Nothobranchius furzeri: one gene and its partners. The protein of the gene in region 1 interacts with the protein of each later gene in a pairwise test. Links are inferred from orthologs where the notes say so. Each region holds a gene or a part of one and is shown on either strand. Other genes may lie near its edges. The genes, in order: banp, ppic, rab3ip and foxm1.

The links.
Region 2: the proteins of banp (region 1) and ppic interact in binary tests that used the Homo sapiens proteins (3 or more experiments, as listed by UniProt). The two-hybrid records come from large-scale screens. The link is inferred for Nothobranchius furzeri from reciprocal best matches to the Homo sapiens genes BANP and PPIC.
Region 3: the proteins of banp (region 1) and rab3ip interact in binary tests that used the Homo sapiens proteins (3 or more experiments, as listed by UniProt). The two-hybrid records come from large-scale screens. The link is inferred for Nothobranchius furzeri from reciprocal best matches to the Homo sapiens genes BANP and RAB3IP.
Region 4: the proteins of banp (region 1) and foxm1 interact in binary tests that used the Homo sapiens proteins (3 or more experiments, as listed by UniProt). The link is inferred for Nothobranchius furzeri from reciprocal best matches to the Homo sapiens genes BANP and FOXM1.

The regions. Positions count from the first base shown.
Region 1 is NC_091744.1:74,163,144-74,168,508, forward strand, and holds the start of banp (protein BANP), read right to left. Parts: upstream 3,531-5,365; 5' UTR 3,417-3,530; intron 1,485-3,416; exon of another isoform or gene 1,402-1,484; intron 1,241-1,401; 5' UTR 1,232-1,240; coding exon 1,162-1,231; intron 802-1,161; coding exon 686-801; intron 609-685; coding exon 409-608; intron 310-408; coding exon 220-309; intron 73-219; coding exon 1-72. UniProt on the Homo sapiens protein: Controls V(D)J recombination during T-cell development by repressing T-cell receptor (TCR) beta enhancer function. Binds to scaffold/matrix attachment region beta (S/MARbeta), an ATC-rich DNA sequence located upstream of the TCR beta enhancer.
Region 2 is NC_091750.1:37,263,316-37,268,022, forward strand, and holds part of ppic (peptidyl-prolyl cis-trans isomerase C), read right to left. Parts: intron 4,592-4,707; coding exon 4,498-4,591; intron 4,399-4,497; coding exon 4,331-4,398; intron 2,952-4,330; exon of another isoform or gene 2,949-2,951; coding exon 2,832-2,948; exon of another isoform or gene 2,812-2,831; intron 841-2,811; exon of another isoform or gene 703-840; intron 468-702; exon of another isoform or gene 374-467; intron 1-373. UniProt on the Homo sapiens protein: PPIase that catalyzes the cis-trans isomerization of proline imidic peptide bonds in oligopeptides and may therefore assist protein folding.
Region 3 is NC_091741.1:38,160,381-38,165,875, reverse strand, and holds the start of rab3ip (rab-3A-interacting protein), read right to left. Parts: upstream 3,580-5,495; 5' UTR 3,445-3,579; intron 346-3,444; 5' UTR 272-345; intron 1-271. UniProt on the Homo sapiens protein: Guanine nucleotide exchange factor (GEF) which may activate RAB8A and RAB8B. Promotes the exchange of GDP to GTP, converting inactive GDP-bound Rab proteins into their active GTP-bound form.
Region 4 is NC_091741.1:41,398,251-41,402,858, forward strand, and holds the end of foxm1 (forkhead box protein M1), read right to left. Parts: intron 2,509-4,608; coding exon 2,469-2,508; intron 2,341-2,468; coding exon 2,168-2,340; intron 2,092-2,167; coding exon 1,279-2,091; 3' UTR 1,129-1,278; downstream 1-1,128. UniProt on the Homo sapiens protein: Transcription factor regulating the expression of cell cycle genes essential for DNA replication and mitosis. Plays a role in the control of cell proliferation. Also plays a role in DNA break repair, participating in the DNA damage checkpoint response.

The DNA of each region.
Region 1 (5,365 bases):
TGCTCCTCCTGACTCTCTTCAGGGCCCGGCACCTTCACCAGGATTGTGTTCTGACGCCTCCTGGACACTGTGCTGTAAACATTGTAATACAATGACAAAAACCCAGTTACACCTGATTAACGTAGGTAGTGAAACCAAACAGGAGGCAGAATCATTGACGAAACACGGCGTTAGGATGGACTTGTGTTCGACGCTGAACTATGAAAGTGAGATACGTACTTGCTGAGCATGTTGTCTAGCGGAGTGTCCTCCTGAGGGGAGATCTTCGGGTTTTCTCGGCTCACGATCACATTTGTTTGTGGGACAACACTAAAAGAGAAAATCACAACAATTTGGTAACAAATGGCTAAAATTTAATAACAACATCATTTATCTTGTTGACGTGGAAACTGGGCGTTTAGAGCTTACCAGCGGACTTTGTTCCACGTCTGAGTGGCCCCCTGAGGTGACCCTGCGACCATCGAAACCTGGACAGGACTCTTGCTGCAAGAGGTCATACTGTCTAGTTTGCGTGCGAGAGATTTACACGTAGAGTCTAACGACTGTAGCTTGGACTCAATTCCTTCCAGTCGCTGGCACAGCGAATCGTTAAATGACACCAAAAGATTCTGGAAAAGGAGAATAAAAAAGAAGAATGTTTGTGCACACATAAGGACTTTTAGCACCATCCTTTCAGGCTTGCTACCTTAATTAAAGTTAAGTCCTGGCTGCTGTTATTGTTCTCCTGGATGTTGATGTTGCTTAATTTTCTCTTCTTCTTCTGGGTTCTTTCTTCAGCATCTTCGTGATTGCCCAGCATGTCTGGCATGAACGAGACATAGAGACACCCTCAAACCGACACACCAACACACTTCTTGCTGATTTCAGTTGCTGTCCAGGCATGTATTATTCATGCTGTAATCAGCAGGAGATCCGAGTTGGAGCTGAATCCCAATTCCATATAAAAGGCTGGTGCATAAATCTGTGCAGCAAACAATCGGCAGAGAGTAAAACAGACCCAAAACCTAATTTAGAATCAACTTTTATTTGATTTTGGCTGATAAAATGTTGTTTTCTAATGCTGCGTTCAAGAATATAACTATCTGATGAAAAAAAAGGTAAGTAAAAAACGTCAATATTGATTAATTCACTGTAAAAATGTAACATAACAAGAAATCCTACCAGAGTGGTTGTTGTGATCAAAATCTTCCACTGTTATTTGAACAATTTCATCCAACTCTTGCCCAGACATTGTTCACAGCTGGCATGAAAAGAAGAGAATATTTATTATATAACACATTCCTGTATAGTTGATAACCTATGCAAAGTTTTGATACGCCTGCTGCCGTAGAATTACCATTTGCTCACTTTTCGTTGAAAAATTGGAATACACTAAAGCTCTTAAAGTGGTACTTTACTCACATACAATACATAATCTGCAGTGGTCTCAAGTAGGAACGAATGCCTTGTAAGGTGCACTCTGGGGAAACAAAGCTCCGGTGTGCCTAATTCAGAAACTAGAAGTTAGCCAGATCAAAGTTGAGCTGAACACAGAACGATTTGGTCTCTTATTTCCTGACATTTGGACATCTGTTTGGCTAACAGCAAAGAGACTCTACCACTGGTAGAGACTCTACCATTTGCTTTACATTCTTGATGTTTTATCTCTGCAAATAACACAAGAATAGAGGAGTTCTGCAATGTGGTGGAGTTGCTAATACTAACAGTTAGCTTCTACAAGCCGAGACATTCTCTGCTTTTTCCTGGATGGGAAAATGACAACAGCCTTCCCCATCGTGAGTCAAAATGGGTGAGTCCAAGAATGTGAAGTCACAGTATGATGTAGATCTGTCAGGATTTTTTAATCCTAGCATTTCACTGTCTATCAAAAGCTATTGCAGGAAACAGGTGTACAAGACTATTTTCATGTTCAGCCTGCATCAAAAACTCAAAGTGACCGATTATAATCAGATATAATCATTTTTAAATGTTTTTTCATTGAAGTACCACTTTAACATAACTGCATATAAAAGTCTGGGTGACCAAAAAACTTGTATCACGCCTGAAGGCAAAGCTGTTCACGCTATCAGTACCGTTGATTGGTTTGAGAGCAGAAAAAATAAGTTTTAGTGACATTAACAGCAGAACCATCTGAGGACAAAATGAAAAAAAAAAAGCCTTTAGCCATAAAAGACAGCGGTGGTGCAGAAATATGAGTGTGTGAGGGAGGGTGTGACAAATAGTGGGAGATCTTGTGATATTGCTTGAGCTTGCCCATAATGTTATTTTCAATACTGGACCAAAACAGATACAACTCCCAACAGCCCCCTCTAAAAAAGAGGACTTTAAATGAAATTCTCTCATGAATGATGGAATCCTTCAAGGAATGCTAATCTTTTAATTTTCTGGAGATTTGTATATTCTATCTGTCCTTTAAAGTTAATTTTTCATGTCATTTCTATTAAAGGCCAGTTTTCTAAATGATTATGAACATCTCCACAATAGGGCACCAATAATAATAATATTCTATTCTGAGATATCACTTTCTAAAATTGAGCAAATTCATTAATAGTGGTAAAAATATTACAATTTCTTAATCTGTCTACTATTTTGAATAATTTGTAAAAAAAATTATGTGTTTATTTCCTATATTTAGCTAGGACCTCCATGCAACTGCTGCATGAGCAAAACTGTGGAAACGTGTATCAAAGTATCAATAAATCCTTTATATAAACTGCATAAATTTGTACTTCCTTTTACTCTTCCATATTTTTTATTTTAGAGGAACACATCTCATGGTTTCTGTAGAGAATTAATCCATAAAACAGGCATACTCGAACATCATGTAAACAATAAACTGAGTGGGATTTTGTGATGCAGTGCTGGGCCTGCAAGCTGCAAACGTCTTGCTGATGGTTGAGCTAGTTATTGCCAATCTCCTCAGTTTAACATCCTTGCCCATTAATATATTTTTTAACTGACTAATCTTATTTCGAGAGTTGCTTGCAACGTTTATACTGCAACCTGCAATCATTAGCTTCCATTTAGAGGTCGGGAGGCTCTACATGCAGCAGAAATACCACTTATTTTGCAACAATTTTGTGTGTCATAACTAATTTTGTTGCACCTGCATTTTGTTCAACTTTGCATTTGGATTTGCAAGCTGAAAATTGTTAGATAGCTGGTGGCTAATGTTAGCTGCAGCTACACAACATCCGATTTGTGAGCTTGCTTGCCAGCGATAAAGCTAGATGCGCGAAATGAGACGCTATTTAAGCTAGCTTAGTAGTTAGCATGCTAGTTAGGCCTTGTGGCTGCTTGATAGCAGACGAAGATTTGTTGAGTTGAATACAGCAAATAAAGATCATTTTGATTAAGCCTCTTCTTCCTTTGCTCTCACGCAACAACATGCACCGTGTAAGATTGGGTTATATTACCGTGTGAATGACGAATTCTCGTGTTGTTTGTGGGGATTCCGATAACGGCGTCGTTCCTCGCGAGAGAAAAGGCTGCGTCCGCTCCGCTCCTCTGTTCCTGGATCTGGCCAGGGTATATCATGGCTGCCTGTAGAGGGCGCTCAAAACCAACTGAGAGGCTGAAAACGAAGTCTAGTTATATTTTTAAAGGATCCGTTATGTGTTTTGAAAGGTTTTTTATGCAATGAAAATCAAATACTATAATTAGAATGTATCCCTGCACATGTAAACATAAGAAACTTTAGTATTTATCCTGTTTTTAATCAGAAAATTGGGCTGCATTTCATATTTCGGGCAAGTGGCGCAATAGATATGTTGGATCAGAAGATTCCAGGTTCGACTCCTGGCTGGCTCGAATTGCTTTTTCAGTTTCAAACTCTTCAACTTAACTACTTTCAATAGTATTTATTTAATTTAACAAATATATTTTTTCATCAAACTGACAGACCGCTTGACATGTGACATCACACTGCCAAGTCCCTACAAAAATTGCTGGCCACCCCAGGGAAGACAAGTGTTTTTTTCAAAAGTCAAATTAATGTTCACACAAACCATAAATTTATCTTAATGAAGACGTACAGGTGAATCTCGAAAAATTAGAATATGGTGTAAAAGTCCATTTATGTTGGTTATTCAGCTCACACTAAGAGACCATCTAAAGGGTCAGGAATCCTTTGTAGGTGTTTTGGATTCATTAGCTGAGAGTGTGACACTTTGATTCTTATTGAACCTTTTCAAAACATTCTAATTTGTCTGAGATTTTGAATTTAGTTTTAATAAGCTGTAAGGCATAATCATCACAATAATAAAGACTTTAAATATGTGACTTTGCTGTTAATGAGTCCATTTCATATATTAGTTTCACCTTTTAAATTGAATTACTGGAATAAATTAACTTTTATATCATGATCTAATTTTTCAAGTTTCACCTGTACACGTAAAACCCGGCAACTCTGAAGTTGCAAGTGTGACATTCTGGACACATTAAGCTTGTAAACAGTCCTTTTAGCACATACTGGCTCAGGAAAATGATTTTAAAATATTCAAAGTTGCATAGTATCCCTGTAACACCCTCAGCTTCAAGATCTAACTTTTCGATCATCTGCACAAAGACGTCTTAGACGATCAAAAATTGTAATACCTACATCCCTAGGTTTAAATTTTTTTACTTAAATCGTGGAGATACAGGACTGGATAGCAGCTGCAGAAGCTCATTTTGCCTTCCAGCATTTTGCCCAGATGTAAACAACAACATTCACGAGGTCTATAGATCTTTACTGGCTGGTACAAGTGAAAATAGAATCCTTTAAAATGTTTGGACCAGCACCCAGTGGAATATTACAGGAGGGTAGAAATTAAATAAAATATCCATGACTCAATGCACACGATTAGACCTTCTGCTATACCAGCTGTCGTATACTAAATTATTAGCAAAATTTACTGTTGTTCTCATCATATCCGTACAAGATTCACCCATGAGTCTCCTGCCTCTCTGGGGCAGTTTGCTACTTTCACTTGATAACAGATGGATGGAAATGAACTTTGGAAGCCCTGATTTCAACGTGATGTGGGATCACAGTTGTGATCGAGGCAGTTAGTAACAATGCTAAACAGAGGACTAATTTCTACCAAATACTGACAAAATTAGGAATGATTTGTTATGGCCACTTCCCTTCGATGTTATATTTTGATTTTCAAGCTCAGATGTTTTTTAGCATTGTTATTGCAGATACTGAAGGTGTGTGTTCATCTAATTAAGGGATAATAAACTTCCTACTCCTTTTCAAACAAATTATATTATTAATGTGTATAATTTTGCAATTATTTAAATTGCCACATTACATGCATTACCATTTCTTATTAAGGTGTTTTTGCTGGCGTCCTTGTTTTGCCTGCTTTGTTACAGCTCA
Region 2 (4,707 bases), on another chromosome or scaffold:
TCTAGTTTACAATCATGACAACTCTGAGGGGGGTGAATGTTTTTCTCACTCTTCTGTTTAAGTGTATTAAAAGCCTAAAATTCTGTATAATTAATGAGCATCAGACCCACGTGACCACAGAGCTAGCTCCGGGGAAAGGCCTCAGTAGAGCCTCGGTCTGGCCTGGAAACTGCTCGGTCATTTTGAGTCTCTGTGTGTGTGTATTCTGTTTTGGATATTTTTTGTGCAATTGTTGGACAAAATGACTTGCTGTGGTATTAATTGCACTAATAGAGCGTCCAAGGAGTCTCCACTTCATTTTTTCGTTTGTATGTCACGTATTTTTGCTCTGATTACAAACGCTAATGATTTATCTCATCCCGCTACGTTACAGTGGAGTTTACAGACATGTATATGACAACAACCATCTACCAGGCTGGTCCCACTTCACCACCATCATGGAAAAGAAGAGTTACACAACTTTTAAGGTGTGTGTGTGTGTGTGTGTGTCAGTTTCTCTCTGGATACAAATAAAATAAACAGTAAAATAAAAAGCATTTATGATCAAATAAAAAGGTTGCTGACTGAACAATCAAGAAACTAATATTTTTAAAGCATAAAACATTTTCTTTGTGTTAAATCTTAACCTACTTTATGTGATTTAACAGAATTATTAATCTGGTAATTAAACTAACTTTAATATCTTTTATCTTTACGCTAAAGCAGACCCTCAGAGCTGTCGATGGTCCCTGACTGCTGACGTGTGGACCAGCTGTGCTACAGAGGCATATCTTGGTGTGTTCTGCTATCTCCTGAGTGAAGATTGGAAGATGAAGCGCTTCAGTCTCGCCACCATGCCTCTGAACACAAGTCATGTTTGGTTTTAGGTAGGGATGGGTTCCGAATTCTGTACTTTTTAAGGTAACGACCGAATTCCATAGTACCGACTGAGCACCGATTCACGTCATTTCAAACGGTGCCTCGTTTCGGTACCCGTCCTTCATAATAAGAACTTGCCTAGACAGCTGCGCATGCGCAAGAGCGTTATGTCGTCGGTCGCTGCGAGCGAGTTGTAAACAGAGCAGCAGGGTAGAAAGAACGCACGCTAAAGCTTGGGTCCACTTCACTAAATGTGATAGGTAACTGGGTGATGATGAAACCAGCGACAACGATCTAAGTGAGACATCCTCATCTTAATCTGCTCCGGTAGGTAAATAAAATGTTTAAGATAACGTTAGCTTGATATGTTAGCTTCCGTTTCGCTAATGGTGCGTTCGCTTTCTCCTCGGAACTCCGAATTTCCGACTGGAAGAACACGAACGCGCTCTAAAGTTTGGCTTCACTTTACTAAATGCGACGGGTGATTGGGTGAAGATGAAACCAGCGACAACGATCTAAGTGTGAGGCATCATCGTTTTAATCTGCTCCAGCAGCTAAATAAACTGTTTAAGATAACGTTAGCTTGATATGTTAGCTTCCATTGCCACCGTTGTTATCAGCTAATGGTGCGTTCGCTTTCTCCTTGGAAATTCTAACTTCCCAGTAGGAAAAATCAAATGAAAAAGGACGGCAAAAGGAATGAAGATACACAGTAAATTTAGTTCACAGTAAAGATGTTTGCTTCAGTTTAATTATCAGCTTATAAAACTACAAGGACGATGTTAAAATACAAACAGTTGTATGTTATTTATCGTGATATTTATCAAAAATGGTTATATATTTAGAAAATATATATATTTAATTATAAAAGAGAATTAAAATAATAAACACTCAAAAGTATCGAAAATTGGTACCGTTAAGTACCGGTATCGATTCCTAGGTACCGGGAATTAGTACCGGATCGATTCAAATGTCAAAGGTACCCATCCCTAGTTTTAGGTGCCTACCTCCACGTGGTTGTAGCGTTTGTATCAACAGGTTACAAGTTCATTTAAGTTGATAAGCTATCATCTTGTCTTTATTATTAGATGGCCCATAGCTGATCACACTTCAGACTAGAAGCTAATGCTGGTATATTAGGGCTTCCTGGTGCAATAAGCTAAACTTTTATAAACGACACGATTGGTCGACTACTAAAATAGTCGTTTGTGGCAGCCCTAAAGATGTAGCGGCGAGAAGAGGCGGAGAAAAAAAATCTAAATACCAAAAATAAAGTGGCCAGGGTGCACGTAAAATATTTTCTACAATTGTTAAAATATTTTTCAATAATGATCGATATCGATCAATATAAAATATTTTTTATCGATATACTTTTTTGCTATATCGTCCAGCCCTAATATACAACTTACGTCAGTACGTGTGACCGAACGGCTTTGTTTACCACCAGTTTCTTTCGAGAAGTGCAACGGTGTGATTCCTCGCGGAGGTTGTGATCTCTCGATGAGGAAGGTGTCGGAAGTCTCGAGGGATTTTAGAATCTCGCGGGTACAGCGAGGTGCAGCAAGGCAGCCGTGCCGCAGCCAAGACTCTCCCGGTGTGAAAAGGAGCGCTTTGAAGTTGGCGAGTGAGCCGCCCCGCTGCTGCTCCGTTCCGCTGATGCTTGCAGTGTGAAACCGGGGTCAGCCCCGGTCCCGCAGCTTTGGGTTGTTTCTCTGCTCCAACACACCTGACTTAATGTTGAGTCACCTGATCAGCAGCTCAAATGCCTTTTCATCACCTAAAACAGACTAAAGTAAGGTTTGCGGTCAACAAGGGCCGGAGTTGAGTACCCCTGCCATTGATTATAACGGCTTCTATTAGCCGTGGAGACGCAGCATCTCTGTAACGCGCTGCAGACGCACCCAGTGTGAATTGGAGGTCACTTACTCAATTACATTTCTCTGTTCTAGGAGAACGTTGGAGGTTCCACTCACCATCCCATCCAGAATTTTCCCAAAGACCACATGCTTCCCATCTAGCCATGGCGCTTTGGTGGCCAGGATGAAAAACTGAGACCCGTTGGTGTCTGGACCGGCGTTGGCCATGCTCACCTGGTACACACACACACAATTACTCACTTCATGCCATGTAGTTCTGTGACATCCAAATTCCTTTTAAAATGGGAAGATTCCTTTTTGAGCCGGTACCGAGCCCGGAGTTGGGTTTAAAAACTAAGAAGGCATTTTAGACACAAACAGAAAAATAAAATATTTTGTTTTGGTTTCCCAGTTTCCAGAAACGAGTCCCAATTCCATCTGCAGTTAGAAAACAAAAAGGCTTTCCTGTAGGCATGTTTGAATGAAAAACACCTTTGTGACCTGAATGTGTGCATGTGTGTGGACATGCCTGAGTGTGTGCATGTGCCTGAGTGTGTGCATGTGCGTGGACATGACTGAGTGTGTGCATGCGCGTGGACTAGGGATGGGTACCGAATTCGGTACTTTTTAAGGCACCGACCGAATTCCATAGTACCGATCGAGCACCGATTCACGTCATTTGAAACGGTGCCTCGTTTCGGTACCCGTCCTTCATAACGAGAACTTGTCTAGACAGCTGCGCATGCACAAGAGCGTTATGTCGTCGGTCGCTGCGAGCCAGTTGTAAACAGAGCAGCATGGTAGAAAGAACGCACGCTAAAGCTTGGGTCCACTTCACTAAATGTGATGGGTAACTGGGTGATGATGAAACCAGCGTCAACGATCTAAGTGAGACATCCTCATCTTAATCTGCTCCGGTAGGTAAATAAAATGTTTAAGATAACGTTAGCTTGATATGTTAGCTTCCGTTTCGCTAATGGTGCGTTCGCTTTCTCCTCGGAACTCCGTATTTCTGACTAGAAGAACATGAACGCGGTCTAAAGTTTGGCTTCACTTTACTAAATGCGACGGGTGATTGGGTGAAGATGAAACCAGCGACAACGATCTAAGTGTGAGGCATCATCGTTTTAATCTGCTCCAGCAGCTACATAAACTGTTAAAGATGGCGTTAGCTTGATATGTTAGCTTCCATTGCCACCGTTGTTATCAGCTAATGGTGTGTTCACTTTCTCCTCGGAAATTCTAACTTCCCAGTAGGAAAAATCAAAGAAAAAAGACAGCAAAAGGAATGAAGATACACAGTAAATTTAGTTCACAGTAAAGATGTTTGCTTCAGTTTAATTATCAGCTTATAAAACTACAAGGACGATGTTAAAATACAAACTGTTGTATGTTATTTATCGTGATATTTATCAAATATTGTTGTATATTGAGAAAAATATACATTTAATTATAAAATAATTAAAATAATAAACACTCAAAAGTATCGAAAATTGGTACCATTAAGTACCGATATCGATTCGTAGGTACCGGGAATTAGTACTGAATCGATTCAAATGTCAAAGGTACCCATCCCTAGCGTGGACATGCCTGAGTGTGTGTTAGCATACACTCACCCAGCCGGCTCCGAGATGTTTCAGTTGGAAGTTTTCATCTGCAAACGTGGTTCCATAAATACTGTGACCTGAACAAAAAAAGTTTATTTTTTCACATCAAATAACTTCATTAGTTTTAACGCCGACATGAGTATTAGTGGAGGTTTCGTTAGCTAGTTGACTCCCACCTCCGGTTCCGTCTCCAGCGGTGAAATCTCCTCCCTGGATCATGAAGTCCTTGATGACTCTGTGGAACTTGGTTCCTTTGTAGCCGTAACCCTTCTGCAGATGAACACATGAAACACCAACTTAAGAGGCTTGGTTCTGGTGGACATGAAATAGACCGGATAAACCGGTATAAAGAATAAATCTTTTCCATTAAATCCTGACAAACCCTT
Region 3 (5,495 bases), on another chromosome or scaffold:
CTATCCATCCATCCATCCATCCATTCAACGCTCATCTCTCCATCTATTCATTCATTCCTGATCGATCATCTCAAGGCCTGCTCCCGTGACCAGAGCACCTCTTCACCAGACGTTACCTTCAGTGAGCAGCAGCTCTTCTGAACAGCTGCAGCTGTGATCAGGAGTTAAACTCAAACATCTAAACCACATCTAAATGAAGCTCTGAAACAGACACTTAGGAAATCCGTGTGTGCGTGTGTGTGTGTGCGTGTGCGTGTGTGTGTGTGTGTACCATAGTCGTGGTGGATGGAGATGCCAGCAGGCTCTGGTTTCAGGTAAACAGCTGACTCGGGACAGGTGACTCACCTGGAACAAGGAGAGGAGTCACTTTCGTCAGGTGTCATTAATAGAACAGCTGAACCTGAGGAAAGTTCTGGTAGAGATCAAACCCTCTTAGCCCTCAGACGGTCCACGGAACAGAACCGGACCACAGCTCTCATGGCTTCTGTTAGCATCACTAATGTGGCCGTCCAGCAGACCCGGCCCGTTAAAGGTGCCGAGTCATGGCTAAACCCTGAAGAGGAACCACATCCTGGTCATCACAGTTTAACCCAAACTTTTCATAATAAACTTTTATTGTAGCTTAGAAAACCAGCGGGAAGGAAGCTGGGTGCGGTGTCTCTGCCCTGCGTTTCGTCTCTCAGGCTGCTGCTGCGTTACTTGATTAATGGAGTCTTTAAGTGCTTCCTGACGGCTGCGTTTTTCACTCGTCTGTGGAACGAATATTTGGATCAATCCAGATCCATCTGTGCGTGTAAACACCAGCTCACCTTCTGCCCACTCAGCACATTCACACCCGCTTACAGCTGAAGAGCATCAGGCTGTCGGAGCCTCGTTGCCTGCTCCCCAACATCAAGTCAAACAAAATACACGTTTTTTTTTTATAAACCGCAGGTTTAGATGAATGTTTTCAAACTGACGGATTCTTCAGATGGACCCAAGAATCTAAATCAGACTCATGAGGACAGGAGGGACAGAAACGCGTGTCTCAAGTCTAGAAAACAACCCAGAAGGAGGTTGAATTGTTGTTTTGTTGATCGTTCCAGTTCTACTGAGCTGGACCTTCCTTCTCTTCTCACCCAGTTTTTTCTTAATGTTCTTTTATTTGGCAGAGACTTTTATCCAGAGCGAATTTCAGAGGATGCAGATCATAGTGCAGTCAATCCAGCTGATGTGTGTGTGTGTTATCCGTGGGAGAAAACACACACATGCATGAGGAGAACATGCCAACTCCAGAAAGGCCACAGGCGGGGTTTGAACCTACAACCTTCTTGCTACGAGGCAACAGTGCCACCAGGCGTTTTCTGCAGCCCAAGGCTCCGTTTACATACTCAGCAAATAAAATCCAGTCTCATAATCCTAATCTGAGTAGGAGGGACTTTAGAACGGAAAACAAAATGTAAATAAAAGCGTACGTCTTCTATGATATGAATTAGAAACGATGACCTTTAACCCAGAATCCCTTCCATGGTGACACAAACACACATGCAGGTCTCGTCAACGCCAAACGGTTTCATTTCGTAGCTCAGAACCTAAAACGATGAACCAAAGCCAGGTGAAAACCCACCGGCATCAAGCCAACCTATCTCCCACAGCGGGTCTCCATGGAAACCAGTCCTGGAGAGCTGGTGGTAACCCGACACGATGATGGATGCTGATCACAGATCCAGTTCCTCTGGCCGACCCGAGTTACTACATATGGGTTCTGTCGTCCCAAACTGACGTGGAAACAGCTCACGTTCACACAACACAAAGTCTTTGTTCCACACAGGAAGAACGCTGGGTTCCACCAGGGTTCCACTGATGGAGCAGAACATTCACCTGCTGCCTTCCGCCTGCAGCGGACGAGTTTCCGTTTTAATCTGCTTCAGCAGGACTTAAAGCCTTGCTGCTTTTACCGTTTGTGTTTTTAATATTTCATAGTCTGATCAGCCAGAACATTCTGACCTCCAGGTGAGCTCAAACACCAATTATCTCCTCATCATGGCACCCAGAGGCAGGTGGGAGACACTGCATCAGATAGGCAGACGTGACGGCGGCCCTGGAGGCCGATTGATGCTCCTGTTCAGCAAAGATCCAAAGCATGAGCTGCTGAACCTCGAATGGCTAAAAACAAAACACAAATAATGTCGAGGAACTCAAAACCAAAGGGACATTCTGCATCTGCATCAGATCACAAACCAAAGGAAGAAGTTGGCCGAGTACGACTCGTTTTACTTTGTGTTGTAAGTTTTATGTTACTCAGCAGAAATTGTTGCATCGAACAGCTTTACAGGGAGGAAAGTAGCAGGTTTGAGGTTTCAGATCCACTGAGTTACCAGGACACAGAGTTTTACTGCTCAGCTGATAGTTATTTTAATTTAGCTTCCAGCATAGAAAATGTATTTTTGTTTCAAAAGCAAACCCTTCTGCACATCATGCGCTCACTAATCGGAGCGCAGCAGTCAGTGAACAATCAAAGTTGAAAGAAGAAGATGGCTGGAGCACTCACAGTGCGAAAAAAGCACCAATGTGTGCGAATGAGACACGTCTGCATACCGATCCAGTCCCCAGAGTTACCTTTTACACTTTTATCTCACAGCCGGCGTCCTTATCTTTCAAAAACTTATTTTTGTTTGATTGCAACTATTTTAGATAATATAAATGTACATGTTAATGTAAAGGAAAATGATAGAAAATCTAATCTAATATGTTTTAAATAAACTGACTTAACATTAAATTACCCCATAAAATAATCAATAAATAAATAAATTCAGATTAACTCCTATCCCTAACCTTAACCCTACCCAACAACCAGCTGGTTTTATATCTAATTTGCAAAATAATCAAATCCATAAATTACTGTTGTTGTGACTGGAAACCAGGTTGAGATTTGTTTCCTGGAAAATTGACAAACACCATTATTCCTATTACATAAGTAAATTCTTGCATTAGGTTCTTAGTATTTTGATCATTTTATCGTAAAACGATCTGCAACAAACAGCCTCTCTGGGTCTTAAAATGGTTAATAGTGGAGCTACCTGTAATGTCACCGTTCTCAGGGTTAAAGTGCAGCTCGTGTGGCGGAATCAGAGCGTGTTTTATAGGCACAAACTCACCTGTTTCAGGTGATCCTAGGTGTTAGCAGACAAGCTAACAGCTGGTATTGGTAAGCTAGCCGCGGCTATCTGACACCAAACGCATCAAACATGCACGGAAATAACGTCTCATCGCGAGACGATTGTAGAAAATATGCATAAACACTGACAACATGAGTGTTTACCCACTTTGTTTGTGGAAAGCAAAAACACAAAGCTACATTATCCAATAATGAGTACAAATGATCGGAGCTAGCGGGCTAAACTAGTCCGCTCAACCGGGCTAAAAAACGACCAGATTAACGGGAAACGTCTGCGGTGGACTCACCGTGTGGACATCCGTACCGATGGACCTGCGCCCCAGAGACGTGCCGAATGAGCCCAACAAACAAACAAATAAAAACAAACAATCAAACACACCGGAGCGACTGGCTGACGCAGAGCCTGACGAGAGACGCGTTCAGGGAACACTGGGAAATTGCACGACTGTACATGAAGGCAGCAATCCAATCCGGTTTGACTTCGCACTGCACTCCAGCGTTTAAAGCTCTTCAAAGCAGTCTGCAGAAACAACTACCATAATGACATTAAAACATAAAATAAAGCACACATGAAAACATTAAACGTCCTACGGATAAGCGTTCTTTGCACAATTTTTTATACATTTACGTGAAGCCTTTAATTTTAATATAAATATATTTATTTTTCAAAGTAAATCATAAACATTGGTGTTTTCCCAACATTTTCCTCCAGAAGTCCAATTAAACAGCACGCAGGTGGCAGAGGGCGCCAAAAACTACAGAGTTGTATTATATTTGCCCAGTAGAGGGCGCTAAACACAAACTAATAAATGCAAATTTCCAATTAAAATGTCAAACTCATATTATCTCCTTTTTGGGGGGGGGGGGGCAATTTATTAATTTGATGTTTCAAATTAAAACGTCTTAAAAATATTTTTTCATAAAGCTTAATGTTAGTTTGAAACAAGTGTTTGCGTTTTATGTATTGTTATGCTATTGTTATGTATCCATTATCTATTTTATGATACTTTTATTTATTATACAGGGAGTGCAGAATTATTAGACAAATGAGTATTTTGTCCACATCATCCTCTTCATGCATGTTGTCTGACTCCAAGCTGTATAGGCTCGAAAGCCTACTACCAGTTAAGCATATTAGGTGATGTGCATCTCTGTAATGAGAAGGGGTGTGGTCTAATGACATCAACACCCTATATCAGGTGTGCATAATTATTAGGCAACTTCCTTTCCTTTGGCAAAATGGGTCAAAAGAAGGACTTGACAGGCTCATAAAAGTCAAAAATAGTGAGATATCTTGCAGAGGGCTGCAGCAGTCTTACAATTGCAAAGCTTCTGAAGCGTGATCATCGAACAATCAAGCGTTTCATTCAAAATAGTTAACAGGGTCGCAAGAAGTGTGTGGACAAACCAAGGTGCAAAATAACTGCCCATGAACTGAGAAAAGTCAAGCGTGCAGCTGCCAAGATGCCACTTGCCACCAGTTTGGCCATATTTCAGAGCTGCAACATCACTGGAGTGCCCAAAAGCACAAGGTGTGCAACACAATACTCAGGGACATGGCCAAGGTAAGAAAGGCTGAAAGACGACCACCACTGAACAAGACACACACGCTGAAACGTCAAGACTGGGCCAAGAAATATCTCAAGACTGATTTTTCTAAGGTTTTATGGACTGATGAAATGAGAGTGAGTCTTGATGGGCCAGATGGATGGGCCCGTGGCTGGATTGGTGAAGGGCAGAGAGCTCCAGTCCCACTCAGACGCCAGCAAGGTGGAGGTGGAGTACTGGTTTGGGCTGGTATCATCAAAGATGAGCTTGTGGGGCCTTTTCGGGTTGAGGATGGAGTCAAGCTCAACTCCCAGTCCTACTGCCAGTTTCTGGAAGACACCTTCTTCAAGCAGTGGTACAGGAAGAAGTCTGCATCCTTCAAGAAAAACATGATTTTCATGCAGGACAATGCTCCATCACACGCGTCCAAGTACTCCACAGCGTGGCTGGCAAGAAAGGGTATAAAAGAAGAAAAACTAATGACATGGCCTCCTTGTTCACCCGATCTGAACCCCATTGAGAACCTGTGGTCCATCATCAAATGTGAGATTTACAAGGAGGGAAAACAGTACACCTCTCTGAACAGTGTCTGGGAGGCTGTGGTTGCTGCTGCACGCAATGTTGATGGTGATCAGATCAAAACACTGACAGAATCCATGGATTGCAGGCTTTTGAGTGTCCTTGCAAAGAAAGGTGGCTATATTGGTCGCTGATTTGTTTTTGTATTGTTTTTGAATGTCAGAAATGTATATTTGTGAATGTGGAGATGTTCTATTGGTTTCACTGGTAA
Region 4 (4,608 bases), on another chromosome or scaffold:
TTTTTATAGTTTATCAGAAAAAAATAGAGTTGCTTGGGGGCGACTTGCTCTTTAAGTTTCAAATAGTTGGAAGTATTCCGTTCCTGCCAAACATTTAGGATCCTTTACAGAGAAAAACTTTTAACACGGAAGATTCTCACCTGTTCGTGTTTTGCCACTTTTGTAAATAAAATGTATTTTTAAGCTTCAAAGCCACACAAAGTCCTAATTTTACATCCTTCTACAATAAAGACTTTTCTGAGCCAGACTGTTCGTGCTTCTTGTCGACTTTTATTTACACAAGAGTAGAAATGTGTATTCAGACTGAGTTTTCCAGAAACGTTACACCTCACTTCATTAATTCCACCGATGAAAGGAAGTAATCACCTGCAGCTCTAGAAAGCGAAACTACACATTTTCACTCACATGTAGCATAAAAAATGAAGTCACAATAGTTTGTGCCAACAAACTTGGTCTCTAAAGAAACTTCCATGCTATCTTCCACGCACCAACACAGATGTTTTCCTCTATTTTGCTGATTCTGCTTCAAGACAAGAATAAAAGCCATCAAGCTTTCTCAGAGAATACAAATAAAATATTCTTTAGTCCCTTTTGATGTTAAATGTGAAGACACAAATCCTCCTTTCTGATCAGATCTGGAAGATGGCAAAAACATTCCAGTCAGTGAGAATTAAAACAACAACGTACATTTCTAAAGTAAACAGAGACAATCCTATTGCTGTTAGTGCTAATAATAGTAATACTTTCTTACTCCTACAGTCTAATGCGGTTCCAAACGCTGTTTGAACCACGAGGCACAGAAAGATCTTTCTAAAATATTCAGAAACTCTTTCCCACTTGCAGATGGAAGTGCTGTAAATCATATATTAGAATGTGCAAATCAACTTATTTATACACTTAAATATTCATCTTCTTTCAACGACAGTTGTGGATTAAAATGTTCGGACGTTAATAATCCAATAAGTGATTTAAATGAGCAAAACAAACAAACCCAAACTAGCAGAGAAACAGCCAAGCACGAGTGAGCAAGCCTCGCTGTCGTTTATCTCAAACTTCACCAGAAACGGCAGCAAAAATCAGCTCAAGCAAAGCAAAAAGGAGCTCGTTTTGTTCCAGAGAGACGACGGCTCTCTTCTTGTAACATATATTCATAAAGATGCGTTAATATTTAAAAATCAACCTGCGGTTTGTCAATAAAGTTTCATTAAAGCAATAAAGAGTGTGTGTGTGTGGTTTGTAGTGTTTTCTCCAAATTCTGCAGTTTATCTTTCCAGTGATCTAAACCTGCCCGATGAACTCGGACCAGCTGATATTAGCGATGCCCAGTTCCTCGTCCAGACCCGTGAAGCTGATGTCCACCAGAATCTTGCTCAGGCTGTCGTTCATGAGGTCCAGCACGAGGCCCTCCGTGAGCGAGCGGTTAGTGGGCGTGGCGCTGCCGGCTTGCAGGAGCTCCCTGGAGCAGCTGCTTTGCGGGTGTCCGATCGGCGACTCCGTTGATCTGGTGACTCTGCAGGGAGCCGTGGTGAGCAACTCCCGGGGGGAGCTGAACAGAGCCAGGTCTTTAAAGGGAGTGCTGTTCAGACTGAAGGTGGTGTATTCGTGCCGGGGCGTGGCTACAGGACCGCTTGGAGTGCGAATAGGACTGAAGTCCAGAATGTTTTGGCTCCCTTTGCCCACAGGGGTCACGAGCCATGGCTCGAGTCCAGCAGAAGAGCGTTTGCTGGGGGTGGAAGAGGTCAGGTGGGTGATGCTCTTTATCGGAGTCTTGAAGGAGAACCCCCGGTCAGGACTGTCTTGTCTGTGCCGCTGCTCATTCGGCCCGACATCCAGAACGTCCTGGAACGTCGACACATCAGAAGCTACACCAGAGTCGAAGAAGTCACTATCAGGACAGAGGAGAACAGGCTCCTCGTGCAGCGAGTTAGCCAGGCTCTGTTTGCGTCGAGAGCTGCTGGCTTGTCTCTTCGGAGGACGAATGGGAGTCTCACATCTTATTGGAACATCAACTGGCTCCTCCTTTATCTCCAGCTTCAGGTTAGTGATCTTGGGAGGAGATTCAGCCACAACCGAGATGCTGCTTTGTGTCACCTTTTCATGGAAAATAATATGTTAGATTCCTTTGGCATCGAAAATTACAACAAGTTGTGCCTAAAAAGCGGTTTACCTTAGGAGCTATGCGGACTCTCTTTGCCCCTCGAGAAAAGGTCTGCTTCTGCTTGGGGCAAGCGTAGCTAAAGGAGGCAGACGGGGTTGACAGATACAACGGAGAGGCCACAGGGAGCTGGATCGGAACCAAGTAGGATTCGGTTCGAGGGAGAAGCGGTTTCATCCTTCTCTCTGAGCACAAGGAGACACGGAACATGAACCAGCAGCACAAGTAGGGCTCTGAGGATGAGTCTGAGTCATTTCTGGAAACTAGAAGTGGATTTGGGAACTCTGAGGCTCCAGCCTAGTCCTTAACTCACCAGAAGAGGCTGGTATTTTTCTGCCAACAGCAGCCGTTCTCTTTTGTTGACATGGAAAGGAAAACGAAAAGATGCACCATCACTTTAAAATAGTCAAATGAATACAACTTTATTAACAATGCTGACAAAGACGGTACCCTTTCCAACTGACTCCTTTTATGGATAAAAAAAATAGCTGTATTTGTGAGTGGGTATAAACCAGCGTTAGACAAGGGAAAGCCTCTTCAGCCTCTCTGGTTCTCAGATCACCTCCTGCAATAAGATGACCTCACAGCTCCAGGTTCACCTGCATTTTCTTACCTCAAATAAATACATGAAAACTAGGGCCCGACCGATATATCGGCCGATATTGGAGTCATTAACCGTATCGGTTATTGGCCAAAAAGATGACCGATATTGCGCTACCTATCCAGCAGATTGCACCAGCTTTATGAACTCATGTTGTGTGGCTCCTAGCGATGGGTACCGAATTCTGTACTTTTTAAGGTACCGACCGAATTCCATAGTACAGACTGAGCACAGATTCACGTCATGTGAAACGGTGCCTCGTTTCGGTACCCGTCCTTCATAACGAGAACTTGCCTAGACAGCTGCGCATGCGCAAGAGCGCTATGTCGGTCGCTGCGAGCGAGTTGTAAACAGAGCAGCATGGTAGAAAGAACGTACGCTAAAGCTTGGCTCCACTTCACTAAATGTGATGGGTAACTGGGTGATGATGAAACCAGCGACAACGATCTAAGTGAGACATCCTCATCTTAATCTGCTCCGGTAGGTAAACAAAATGTTTAAGACAACGTTAGCTTGATATGTTAGCTTCCGTTTCGCTAATGGTGCGTTCGCTTTCTCCTCGGAACTCCGAATTTCTGACTAGAATGCGCTCTAAAGTTTGGCTTCACTTTACTAAATGTGACGGGTGATTGGGTGAAGATGAAACCAGCGACAACGATCTAAGTGAGACATCCTCATCTTAATCTGCTCCGGTAGGTAAATAAAATGTTTAAGATAACGTTTGCTTGATTTGTTAGCTTCCGTTCTGCTAATGGTGTGTCCGCTTTCTCCTCGGAACTCCGAATTTCCGACTAGAAGAACATGAACGCGCTCTAAAGTTTGGCTTCACTTTACTAAATGCGACGGGTGATTGGGTGAAGATGAAACCAGCGACAGCGATCTAAGTGTGAGGCATCATCGTTTTAATCTGCTCCAGCAGCTAAATAAACTGTTTAAGATAACGTTAGCTTGATATGTTAGCTTCCGTTGCCACCATTGTTATCAGCTAACGGTGCGTTCGCTTACTCCTCGGAAATTCTAACTTCCAAGTAGGAAAAATCAAATGAAAAAGGACGGCAAAAGGAATGAAGATACACAGTAAATTTAGTTCACAGTAAAGATGTTTGCTTCAGTTTAATTATCAGCTTATAAAACTACAAGGACGATGTTAAAATACAAACAGTTGTATGTTATTTATTGTGATATTTATCAAATATGGTTATATATTGAGAAAAATATATATTTAATTATAAAAAAGAATTAAAATATTAAACACTCAAAAGTATCTAAAATTGGTACCGTTAAGCACCGGTATCGATTCCTAGGTACCGGGAATTAGTACCGGATCGATTCAAATGTCAAAGGTACCCATCCCTAGACTGGCTCCACTCCTTTGAACACAAATGATTGTTTTGGAACTTTTTTTTTAATTTATTCTTATTTGTTTCTTATGTGCAACTATTTCCTGTCCAGGGTGAATAAGTTCACCAAGTTAACTTCCACAGAGTGTTACTTTGTTACAAAGCACAAGTATTACGTTTTATTTATTGCTGCATTTTTATTATTTTAATATTCTTATAGGGATCTTCCGTCCCTAAACTCGTGTGTGTTGTTAGATTCCCCAGAGTTAGCCAAGTCAGAAAAAACATTTTGTAACCAGTTGTTTTAGCACGAAGCAATGGAAGGGAAGGCTTGCATTCACCTACATAAAAAACACTACAATGTATGTGAATTCACATACATCGTTTTATGCTAAACTAAGAAAACCAACTGCTGCCAGATCATGTTGGGCTGGTTATAAAATGCTTTTTCTGACTTGTCTAACTCTGGGGAATCTTAACAAGACACAATTTTACTGAGCGGTGGAATATTC